Linked DNA regions of Xenopus tropicalis. Each later gene encodes a partner of the first gene's protein in a complex. Links are inferred from orthologs where the notes say so. Each region holds a gene or a part of one and is shown on either strand. Other genes may lie near its edges.

Evidence for each region.
Region 2: the proteins of flna (region 1) and itgb3 are in contact, whole or in part, in an NMR structure (PDB 2MTP), measured with the Homo sapiens proteins. The link is inferred for Xenopus tropicalis from reciprocal best matches to the Homo sapiens genes FLNA and ITGB3. Residues at the interface, in NP_001104026.1 of Homo sapiens: Gly2236, Arg2264, Ala2268, Gly2269, Gly2270, Leu2271, Ala2272, Ile2273, Ala2274, Val2275, Glu2276, Gly2277, Pro2278, Ser2279, Lys2280, Ala2281, Ile2283, Phe2285, Asp2287, Gly2291; in NP_000203.2 of Homo sapiens: Lys742, Ile745, Thr746, Pro771, Leu772, Tyr773, Lys774, Glu775, Ala776, Thr777, Ser778, Thr779, Ile783, Tyr785, Arg786, Gly787, Thr788.
Region 3: the proteins of flna (region 1) and itgb2 are in contact, whole or in part, in a crystal structure (PDB 2JF1), measured with the Homo sapiens proteins. The link is inferred for Xenopus tropicalis from reciprocal best matches to the Homo sapiens genes FLNA and ITGB2. Residues at the interface, in NP_001104026.1 of Homo sapiens: Val2241, Thr2263, Ala2266, Gly2267, Ala2268, Gly2269, Gly2270, Leu2271, Ala2272, Ile2273, Ala2274, Val2275, Glu2276, Gly2277, Pro2278, Ser2279, Lys2280, Ala2281, Ile2283, Phe2285, Phe2311; in NP_000202.3 of Homo sapiens: Leu753, Phe754, Lys755, Ser756, Ala757, Thr758, Thr759, Thr760, Val761, Met762, Asn763.

The regions. Positions count from the first base shown.
Region 1 is NC_030684.2:31,813,303-31,816,955, reverse strand, and holds part of flna (filamin-A), read right to left. Parts: coding exon 3,577-3,653; intron 3,493-3,576; coding exon 3,319-3,492; intron 2,929-3,318; coding exon 2,767-2,928; intron 2,565-2,766; coding exon 2,361-2,564; intron 2,162-2,360; coding exon 2,009-2,161; intron 1,870-2,008; coding exon 1,747-1,869; intron 1,456-1,746; coding exon 1,189-1,455; intron 1,043-1,188; coding exon 905-1,042; intron 603-904; coding exon 487-602; intron 1-486. UniProt on the Homo sapiens protein: Promotes orthogonal branching of actin filaments and links actin filaments to membrane glycoproteins. Anchors various transmembrane proteins to the actin cytoskeleton and serves as a scaffold for a wide range of cytoplasmic signaling proteins.
Region 2 is NC_030686.2:15,369,045-15,372,797, forward strand, and holds the start of itgb3 (integrin beta-3), read right to left. Parts: upstream 2,472-3,753; 5' UTR 2,313-2,471; coding exon 2,252-2,312; intron 838-2,251; coding exon 752-837; intron 1-751. UniProt on the Homo sapiens protein: Integrin alpha-V/beta-3 (ITGAV:ITGB3) is a receptor for cytotactin, fibronectin, laminin, matrix metalloproteinase-2, osteopontin, osteomodulin, prothrombin, thrombospondin, vitronectin and von Willebrand factor.
Region 3 is NC_030685.2:55,155,925-55,159,577, forward strand, and holds part of itgb2 (integrin beta-2), read right to left. Parts: intron 1,180-3,653; coding exon 1,009-1,179; intron 784-1,008; coding exon 542-783; intron 1-541.

The DNA.
Region 1 (3,653 bases):
CAAGTCTGGCCACCTACCATCTCTCTCATTAAACTCAAGCCATATTTCAGATCATAGAGAAGTTCAGCCTGTTAGAAGCCTTTAAGAGAGACACGAGAAAAACACATTGAGAGCCTCCTGAGCAAGCTGGGGGAATGGCATCACCATACAGAGAACACGTTGCAAAGACTTTTGGTAGGACATCTTTTGGTTAAGTAAAGATGGGCAGATTACAATGTAAACGGATTGCAAGAGTATTCTAAAAAAAATAAAAAAAAAAATGTTCCACCTATATATGTATTTCTGGAAATCCTACCTCCTACTAAAATGACTTCCAGATAAGGAGATGGGACAGAAGGAAGGAAGACATTAGGACCGTTGAATGCAGCCAGAAAAGGAAAACTTTTTTTTTTATATCAAAATGGAATGGGGGTACTAATCAGATGCTCAGGAGGTGAATTCTCTGCCCTTTCATGAGGCGGGCACAGGTTTCTCCCAGTGTCTCACCTGAAGACTAGAAACAGTAAGTCTCCGTGCATCATCTGATGTCGAACCCACTGGAACCACGAAGGGGCTGTCTGGTATGTGCTCATCATTAAACTTCACAGACACCTCATAATCACCTACAAAAAGGAAATACTGGAAATTAACAGACCGTATAAAGCTTCACATCTAACCTATCAAAATGTATCATTCTGGAATACTTGCAGTTATAAAATTTCTACTTGGGCAGGAAGAAATTTGTACTTAAAAATGGGGTTGGTCGTTCGCATTGAGACATTTGGAGCAGGGACCTCCCTATTATATTACATTTCTGTTCAATGAGGTCCAGAGAAAAAACATTTTGCATTCTACCCATATTTGCCAACCAAGGGAAGAAGAGAATATAGGTAGGTTCAGAACAATAGTAGTGAAACAAACATACCAGGCTCCTGCACAATGTAGGACACTCCACAAGAACCATCCTTTCTGTCCTCAAATGCAATCTCTGCTTTGCTTGGACCTTCCACTGCAATTGATAGACCACCAGCTCCTGCCTCTCTGGTCCAGATACTGAACTCCGCTATAAAGTAAAAAGTACAATACAGTTAACTAGGGGTCTGGCATCCATCCTATAATGTTGGAGCTGTAAAGAGCATTAAAAAAAAAAAAAATTAGATCCACCAATATTAACTCCAGCCCTTGGACACAAAAAACTTAAAATCATACCTGGTGTTCCAACCTCCGCTCTTTCCAGGCCAGGACCCCCAGCTCGTACTTTGTGGGCTCCTCCTTCACCCAAGGGGCCAACAGTGAACTGAAAGGGGCTTCCAGGCACATGCTGTCCCTTGTACTTAACACTGACTGTGTGGACGCCCATCTCAGAAGGAACAAATCGGATGCAGTAAGTGTTATTCTCGCTTTCCATTATTTCTGCATCATGAATCTTCCCTGAGGGACTAGTGACCTGGGCAGTCATGTCATGAATGCTGATCTCTGCAAGTGATAGGAAGCCAGTGAGTAAAACAGCAGGAGGAGTTCATGCATTATCTGACCAGGACTGACACAAACTGGCCCACAGGCTCCTTGACAATTTGCATCCCATTTATTCCTCTGCCTAAATAAAAACAGCCACAATGTGTAAAATCATCCCTCTACCACTTTTCGCCTTGAGAAGGCCATGACCCATCATAGCTCTTAATGTGTGTCAAACTCCTAATATGTTGGAGGACATTAATTAGCTGGCAGTCTAGACAATGAATTTCAGATCTTAGAACTACATCTTACCGGGTATTTTTAGGCTCAGATCACACTGGCTACCAATGTTTGCCACAGATGGAGCGGTGCGTCTTCGAGTGATACTCTCCTTCATTCTTCCTTCCCCAGTCACCTTGACAGAGAAGGGGCTGCCTATAAGGCAAAATAATGGCTTATGGAAACTGGCATAGATGGAGGTTATAGGACAGAGGGTGTTTTGGAATCAAAATGCAAAGAACCCAAATTCCCTTCCTCATCCCTGTAAAGTACCATCAGTGTTAATACTACGTACCAGGAACATGCTGATCAGCAAACTTTATGTTGATAATATAATTTCCAGGTTCAGTTGGGCAGTAAGTAACTTTGCATGTCCCATCTTCCAAGTCTTCTGTGTTGATATCCACTTTGCTGGGCCCCTCGATGGAAAGGCTAAGTCCACCATAACCTTTAGAAAAAAGGCAAGTAGGCAACAGTAGTAAAAGGCTGAGTATTAAAAAAAGTGATCAAACATAGACCAAAGTGTCATCCTGCTGACTTGGTTTTAGAACTGCTTCTACACCAACCATGTTGGTTATTGCAGACATCCAACAAAGAGGTTATTATATTTTCTGGTGGTGTATAAGAGGTGCTCTAATAAAAGGTACCTGCTTCCCTGGTGTCAATGATGAATTCTGCGGGCTCAAATGTCCTCCCTTCAGTCAGACCTTGACCAGACACTATCACTCGGCTGGCATCCCCGATTTCGGATTGGCTGATCATTACAGTGATTGGGCTGTTGGGGATGTGGATACCATTTTTTTTTATGCTAACAATGTGTTCGCCTGTCTCCTTTGGCACAAACGAGATGCCTACAAAAGAAGCAAGCAGATTAAAGAAGGTATAGGATTACAGAAAGAATTCATTAAATTGTATGTACAGTGAAAATGCCTTATGATTATTTAGAGCAAAGACCTTAAAAGGACATGTGTAGAGGATTATGATACCGGCACATAAATTAAATTAGACCAGATTTTCGGCATATTTAGTTCACCATGCATATATCATTCTTACCAACATGGCCGTTTCTGAGCCTCTTGAGCAGACATGGCTCCTCTCTTCCAGATGGAGAGGTCACTGTAGCAGTCAGCTGGCTCAGGTCTGTCTCTACAATGTTCAGGGGGATGTCTGCTGCAGACCCAACCTTCAGCTGGGACATACGCATAGAATCATCTCCTGTTTAAGAAAACACACAAATATCAGGTTTCAGAGCTTGTGCTATAGTTACAGGAAGCTTTAGGTCAGTGATCCCCAACAAGTGGCTCGTGAGAAACATGTTGCTTCCCAACCCTTTGGGTGTTGCTCCCAGTGGCCTCAAAGCAGGCGATTATTTTTAAATTTCTGGTAAGAAGGCAATCTTTGTTTGCATAAAATCTCAGTGTAATTGCCAAACAGAGCTTTGTGTAGATTTCCAGTCAACATAGGGGCTATCAAATAGCCTGTTATATATAAATAGCTCTCACTGGCACCTTAAGGAATATTTTTGATTTTTGTGTTGCTCCCCAAAACTTTTTGACTATAAAAGGTTGGGGATTTCTGCTTTATGTGATCACCAATACAACTTACCTGTTATTTTAGCAACAAATGGACTTCCCGGAATATGCTTGTTGTTATACTTGACTAGGATGTTGTAGTCTCCAGGGAGCACAGGGAGATAAGAAACTGTGCAGGTCCCATCCTGGTTATCTGTGCAGCTGATCTCTGCTTTGGAGGGGCCCTCAATAGCTAGTGACAAGCCACCTAGGAAACAAATAAAAGATTAGTCATGGCATTCAGTTCAGAGCTAGCATTCATGTTGGACAATGAAATGCATTAACTTTTCACCTTCTCCAGCATCCTTAGTGTTCACAGTGAAGACAGCAGGTTTATTCACTGTTCCATGAATCAAGCCTGGGCCATAG
Region 2 (3,753 bases), on another chromosome or scaffold:
CAGGGAAACATTGCCTTTTTAGGAGAGTCTGAGGGGAATCTGGAAAGGAAGGCCGGGCTCCTTATGGGCGAAAAGGCACTGAAGTCACCAGACAGCGCAGCTAGAGGAAAGATTCCTTTAACTTATTATGCTGGGGGTTGTAGTTCAGAAAAACCCTGGCAGAAGGCAGAGGCCTAAATGTGGCTTTCCCTTGTCTCAAACACCCAATAAATACCTCTGGGGATGCTGAGGGATATAGATAAAAATGTTCTTATTCTGAAACAGTGCCTGTGCCCGTCTGAATGAATTAGTGGTGCATTATAACAGGGCAGTGTCCCAGGGCCCATGGAGTCGAGGAGCTAAACACCATTTAGGCATATAATTTCATTATATAATATAATCACAGCTAATCAGGTAGCAGCGCTGCGGTCTAATGAGAAGCTCAATATTTCCCTGTTGCAATGAATTTCCCAGGGGTCCCACAGCTTGAGAACTGTCCAAGGGCCCAAGGTTCACTTAATCCACATCTGGAGTGAACTATAACTCCCATCAGCCTCAATCAGACTGAGCAGCTAGGGATAAGGCTGTGATTTAAGAAAGCCAGAGTTTGGTCCTGGTTACCTTTGCTAAGTCATTTAGGCTTTTGGTCTATTAAATGCACCCTTATATGTGTGTGGGTTGCCTCCCCAGAAGGGCAGCAACTTAGCAGCTTGGAATGTGGAAGAAAAACTCAATGGCAACTCATGTTAGGAGACTGGATAAGTGGCCTTACCTCTTGGGAACACCATGCACATTGTGGGTTCACAGCAAGGCATTTCTGGCAAGAGGTTACCCCACGAGTGGCACAGATACTGGCACCTGAAATGAACACAGTGCATCCAAACTGAGCAACGATTTCCTGTACCCACTGTAGTACTGCAATTGTAACACTTTGATATAGATGACGGCCAATAAGAACAATTAGCAAATTAAAGGGAATATAAACCACTAAATGTATTGATGTGAACATACCCAGAATGTTAATCAGAGCACTTTTGCAATTTTATATTGTTATTATTATTATTATTATTATTATTATTTATTTATTATTGGCTTAACTACTCATTTGCAAAGTCAGAGCCCCACATTGAAAGAGAGCTGTTTAGCCAATACTGATCTGTCTTTCAGTCTGTATGTTTATGCCTATCTATCTATCTATCTATCTATCTATCTAGCTATCATCTATATATCTATCATCTATCTATCTATCTAGCTCTCTATCTATCTATCTATCTATCTATCTATCTCTCTATCCATCTATCTATCATCTATCTATCTATCTATCTACCTGTCTGTCCATCTGTCTGTCTATTCCTATCTATCTATCTATCTATCTATCTATCTATCTATCTATCTATCTATCTATCATCTATCTATCTATCTATTATCTCTCTATCTATCATCTCAGTCTGTTTATTTGTTATTCTATCTATTTTAAACTTGTGTACAAAGCAAGCCCACATGGGGATATTACATTATACACAGGGTGGATACGACCCCTGTGCTTTTGTTTCATTGACTCACAGCAGAAAGTATGCAGAATGAGATAAGGCGTGAGAATGGAAACTACATTGTATATACAGAGTTAAATCTTACAGGAGGGAAGTAGAGGCAGTATAAATGGCATTATACTGGCATATAAAAATGATTAATTAGAAATTACAGAAATGACAGAAACTGATACCAAGTGAGACTTGAAGATGCAAGCATGGACTATTCCGAAATGACAAACAGACAGATGTGGAGGGAGATAGACAGAGACAGATTAAGCTGACGAAGATTGGAGAGACATAGCATGATAAAGACAGACATAGTAAGAGATAGTCAGACATGGTGAAAGGTACACAATATGAGAGACATACTGATGGATATAGCGAGTAATGGACAGACAGACATGGCGACTTGGCAAGGGAAACAAATGTGGTACATGACCGACAGATATTGTGAGTAACAGATAGGCGTGGTGGGTGACAGATAGTCATTGCTGATGACGGATATACCAGAGTGTGTGTGACTGAATGGGAGATGAAGTGAATGGCAGGCAGACTGGCCCACTGTGACAGACATACAGACAGATATAGTAAATGATAAGGCAAGAAGCAAACATGCACAGTATATAAAACAGACAGACCTAGAATGGCATACAGATTTAGTGACAGACAGCCATAGAATGAGAGCAACAGAAAGACAGACAGACAAGGTGACAGAGAGACAGACACATTGGGTAACTCACCCCAAGTTCCAGCTGTGAGCAGTAGAAGTTGCAGAATGCATATATACAGATCAGGCTTCATCTTCACAGTATGGCAGTGTCACCCAGCTGTGTCCAGTGGCGTATGGAGCAGGGGGTTGTGTGTGTGCTGGGGAGAAGCCTGGTCAGCTAGTCACAAACCCCCCTGCCACTGGCCAGTGAGTGAGCCAGCTGATAGGAACTAGTTAGCAGAATGCTAAGGACTCAAACCCCTATTCCCTGGCTCCTCCCTGCCCCATGTTCACACCCTGTAACTACAAACATTCCAGACAGACCCCATTCTTAACCCTCTCACTGCCACATTCCTGCCTAACACCCCACTTCTCTGTCCCTTACAGCATGTACAGGAAATAAATAACGCCTCACGTTTAGCCTTTCATGTGGGAAGCAGCAATGTCAACGGACACAGACACTGTTTATGTGTTGAACTTTAATTGAATATACAGCCTAGGGCTCACATGGCACAAGCACAAGCACAGAGATGCACACTAAAGCTATTTACAGAGGTGCTTTGCTCTTATATAAACTTCTTATAACCTTGGTATAACACCAATGCCCTGGGTCAGCCCGCTTGTACACAAGTGCAAAGTACAGTGCAGACATAAGGGAACCCTGGAATTATCACCCCTAGGGTTCCAGGGATTTAGCATGAGATTTCCTATGTCTATACAGGAATTTATTTTCCGACAAATGCTTAATTATAACTACGAGCACAGGTTATTCTTTCTATGCCTATTGTTTAAAAAAGGCTGACATTACTTTACCTAGGTGCTGGAACTGCTTAACCCATTCCTTTCCTGGTATTTATATAGTGAAACATTTTCAGAGGGCTTTACAGAGAGGCTATATCTTTCATATAAGTACCTGTTCCAGTGGAGCTTACAATTGAAGGTCCCTATCACATCCCTATCAGTCCCTGCCCCAGTGGAGCATACCATTCAAGGCTGTATGCTCCACTCCTATTCCCATCAGTCCCTGTCCCAGTGAGCTTACAATCTAAGGTCCCTATAGGCCCCCATACACGGGCCGACTATAGCTGCCGATATCGGTCCCTTGGACAGATTCGGCATCTAATCGGCCCATGTATGGGAAGAACAGAGCGGCCTGGCCGACCGATATCTGGCCTGGAATTGGCCAGATCTCGATCGGCCAGGTTAGAAAATCCAGTCGGATCGGGGACCGCATCGGCTCGTTGATGCGGTCCCCGAACCGACTGCCCCATAACCTCAAATGTAATCCGATCCCACCCACAGGTGGGGATATCGGGTGAAGATCCGCTCGCTTGGCGACATCGCCAAGCGAGCGGATCTTATAGTGTATGGGGACCTTATCACATTCCCATCAGTCCCTGTCCCAGTGGAGCTTACAATCTAAGGTCCCTATCACATTCCCATCAGTCCCTGCCCCAGTGAGCTTACAATCTAAGGTCGCTATCACATTCCCACCAGTCCCTGCCCCAGTGAGCTTACAATCTAAGGTCCCTA
Region 3 (3,653 bases), on another chromosome or scaffold:
GTGGCAGAATGCAGAACATGTTTGTAAATATCACTTTTTTAAAGGTATGTGTTGATTTAAGAATATGTATATAAATTCACAATCATTTATTAAATTGCAGAGGTCTCCAAACCATGGGGCTAGCATCCATAGATGAGGGTGTATGATGACTCGCTTTGGTGGATACCTCTAAAATGATATTAGGTTGACTGTTATGGCAGTGTTTTCCTATTTCTGAAGCCCTGTTATGGCTAAGGAGGAGCCTCACTAAGTGCTGGACTTCAAGGTGGACCTTGAACCCACAAAGTCTAAAAACATCAGTTATATTGGGAGATGGATACATTTTAACCTGTCTTTTTCATATACATAGTATTAGGCATAAAATATTATTAAGCTCTTCTTTCCTTTTGGCAGATTTTATTAGGTCAAATAAACTCCTACATCTACCTAATCTGAAGGCATGCAATTAATAAGCAATATCCAGGTGTCTATTCCACTCTATTTTTGGAAGACGGGAGTTGTCAACTCCAAGCTTTGAATAAAGTCTAGTTATTTTACTTACCCCACAAACTGCCACTTGCATCATAGCATCAAGCCCTCCCTCTGGGGCATCTAGATTTCCAGAAATGCCCTGCTTCCCAACTTGATCTTGAAATTGCTTTCCATCTTCTGTGAGTTTGAGAATGTGTTTGAAAGCAAATGGGGGTTGACAATTCTCATTCCTCTCTGGGCATGGGTTCTTCAGTTTCTCTGGGTGTGTGTTCACAAACGGTAACACCGTTTTATCCACAAATGAACCAAAACCTTAGCAAAACACATTTTATCCCAGTTAGCTATAATTAGTTATGGTTTGTGGCAGTTCCACTACATTGCAGCTTTAATACTATAAACAGCCCTGATTCTAGTACAAAGGGTACTAGATTTCTCTGGAGACAAGTGTGTACCAGTTATTGATTGTGCAGTAATAAATATAATAAACCTGTATCACATTTACCCACTTGCAAAATAGTACAGCAATAAAATAATCACCTATCTGTGCTGAAGTTGTGATTTTGTTCAAAGCTTCCAGGAGGTTGCTTCCTAAATTCTTTACATTCTGAAGATCATCATTCATAGAGTAGGAAAGATCCATCAGGTAGTAGAGATCCACTGGATATCCTTGAGCCCTTCTAAATGTCACGTCAAATTCTGCAGCTTTGCCTGTAAAATGAAAATCCTGGTGAAAAACATTATGTTATTCCCCCTTGTATTACAATTTCATGATAGGCTTTAGCTCCCTATGGCGGCAGCACCCTGCAGAATACCAGAGGTAGCAAAAATTCCCTCCTGAATTGAATTTCCAGTTTTTAAACTGGAAATTTTGCTCTTCTAGTACAATTGTTCTTCCTGTACTAGTGATGTGGCCCCCCTAGACCCCCTCCGGTTGGCACGGGAAGGCAAGGCATCATGAAAGCCACCTTGGTGGTTTAAGCTAGAATGGCCTTGGCAGTACAGATATCAAATTGGGCCACCATTCACTGGAAGATGAAATACTAAAGACCCGATTCAATAAAGTTGAATAAAGTGGCGTAACTACTTCTACTGCTCTGGGACCTCCTCCAAAAAAATCTTCAGAGGGGCCCTGCACAGTAGTAGCAAACTTACTGGGCTCTCTTGCCCTGATGCATTGTCCCTCAGCTCTGATGCCTCTTCCGCTGCCTGCCCTGTAAACCCCCACTCCCTGCCCGCGCTACTACCTTGGAGCTGGCGTGGAGCGGAGATTTACCTGCTAAATGGAGGAAACAGACCCCGCGCCTCGGGCCCCCCGCGACTGTGGGGTCTGCTTCCTCTGTTACGGCACTGGTTGAATATCTGATGTAATGTTGTTCCATCTATTTCTGCAAGAATGTTAAATGTTTATTTTAATATGCATTAGCAGCTTAGCACTGGGTGGATTAACGACAAAGGTTATGCATACGGAAAAAGGAGGAGTAGAGTGTGTGGCGAGAACAGCCAGCAATAAAGATAAGTTCTACCCTGCAGTCTCAGATACAGGGCCGGAACTAGAGGTAGACAAAAGAGGCACCTGCATAGGGTGCAAATTTTTTGTGGGGGGGGGGGCTAGGCAGATACCTCTTCTGCCTACCCCTAGTCTGGGATCTCTTACCCCCGGCTTTAGCTTGTCACCGTGCTCCCCCTCCATCCACAACATCAGTTTGCATGCAGGAAGGGGGGGGGGAGCCCAGCTGCCTTGGCCTGCCCCTGCTTAAATCTCTGTGTGGATTCTTCAGGTTCTGCTAAACATGTAAATATTAAACCCAACTAGGACCAGACTGGTATTTAAACAGACTGGTATTTAATAGGCCCTGTAATTTTAAAGCCCAAACAACCATCAGCCCACTAAATCAGCCCACTAAATAGAGATTGTAAATTACATGTTACAGCCCCTCTGGCATTTGCCAAACCAACAGATTGCCAGTCCAGGCCTGAATCCCATGACTAGTTAGTAGCTGAAAGTCAAGAGACTATGTATCTAGTAGAATTAAGTCTAAAACAACTGGACTTTTCTGAGTTTTTCTTGAAAACGTTTCACCACTCATCCGAGTGGCTTCTTCAGTTCAAATGACTGGTAGGGAATTCCCCGGTATTTAAACTCTTGATGGTAGTTTATCAATGAGAATCTTGGTACCATTGGTACCATCATACCTTCTTACACCTGTCAGTTTCAGCTAACACCTAACTGAACAAGTTCAATGGAACCATTGTGATTGGATGTCTGTGACTCTACTACCATCAAGAGTTTAAATACCGGGGAATTCCCTACCAGTCATTTGAACTGAAGAAGCCACTCGGATGAGCGGTGAAACGTTTTCAAGAAAAACTCAGAAAAGTCCAGTTGTTTTAGACTTAATTCTACTAGATACTGTATATCATGACCTGGATGAATGAGAATCTTCATAGACAAGAGACTATGTATTGTGTTGTAGAAAGGATAAGAGAGAGAGGAATAGGAAATAAATGTAAGAAAAAGGTGCAAATACTGTACATTTTATAGCAAGAAGCATACAAACCATACTTAAAAGTACAAATAGAAAAAAGTACAGACTGAGAGGTGGAGTGGAAATCAAGAAAACCACAAGCAAGAAACAACTGATAGCATAGGAAGGCTGTGGTGTGTTTTTGACTAAACTGCACATGTTTCCCTGCATTCCAGTTACCTCAATAAAAAAATGTGGAGGACAAAACACCACTGACCACTGTAGTTATAAGAAGGCATGACAAGAGACTAAGGGAAGGGGAGGAAAGCTTTTGTGACAAGCTAAAAGACTTTTTTCTGTTAGCAGATACAGTATATGCAATATTTATGCACATTTATTCAAAGCTTTGCAAGTGCTTTTTATGTAAACAGCACAAAAAGAGAGTGACAAAGGAAAGATTTTGCATTTAGGCTAATGCCACACAGAGCATACATGGGTAAGCACAGGCTGAGAATCTGCCCCTACACGCCCCCTATGGCCAGCATATATGTCTACCTTGGCTTGTTTGTGTGCACTGTGAATCATATGATCCCTAAATTCTTAAAAAAATTCTATTTAGGATTACCCAATAAGCACATACTACTAAAAAAGTATATTTTTATGAAAATGGTTTATTTAGATGAAGCAGGGTTTTCCATATGGGCTTGGTTATGCAAT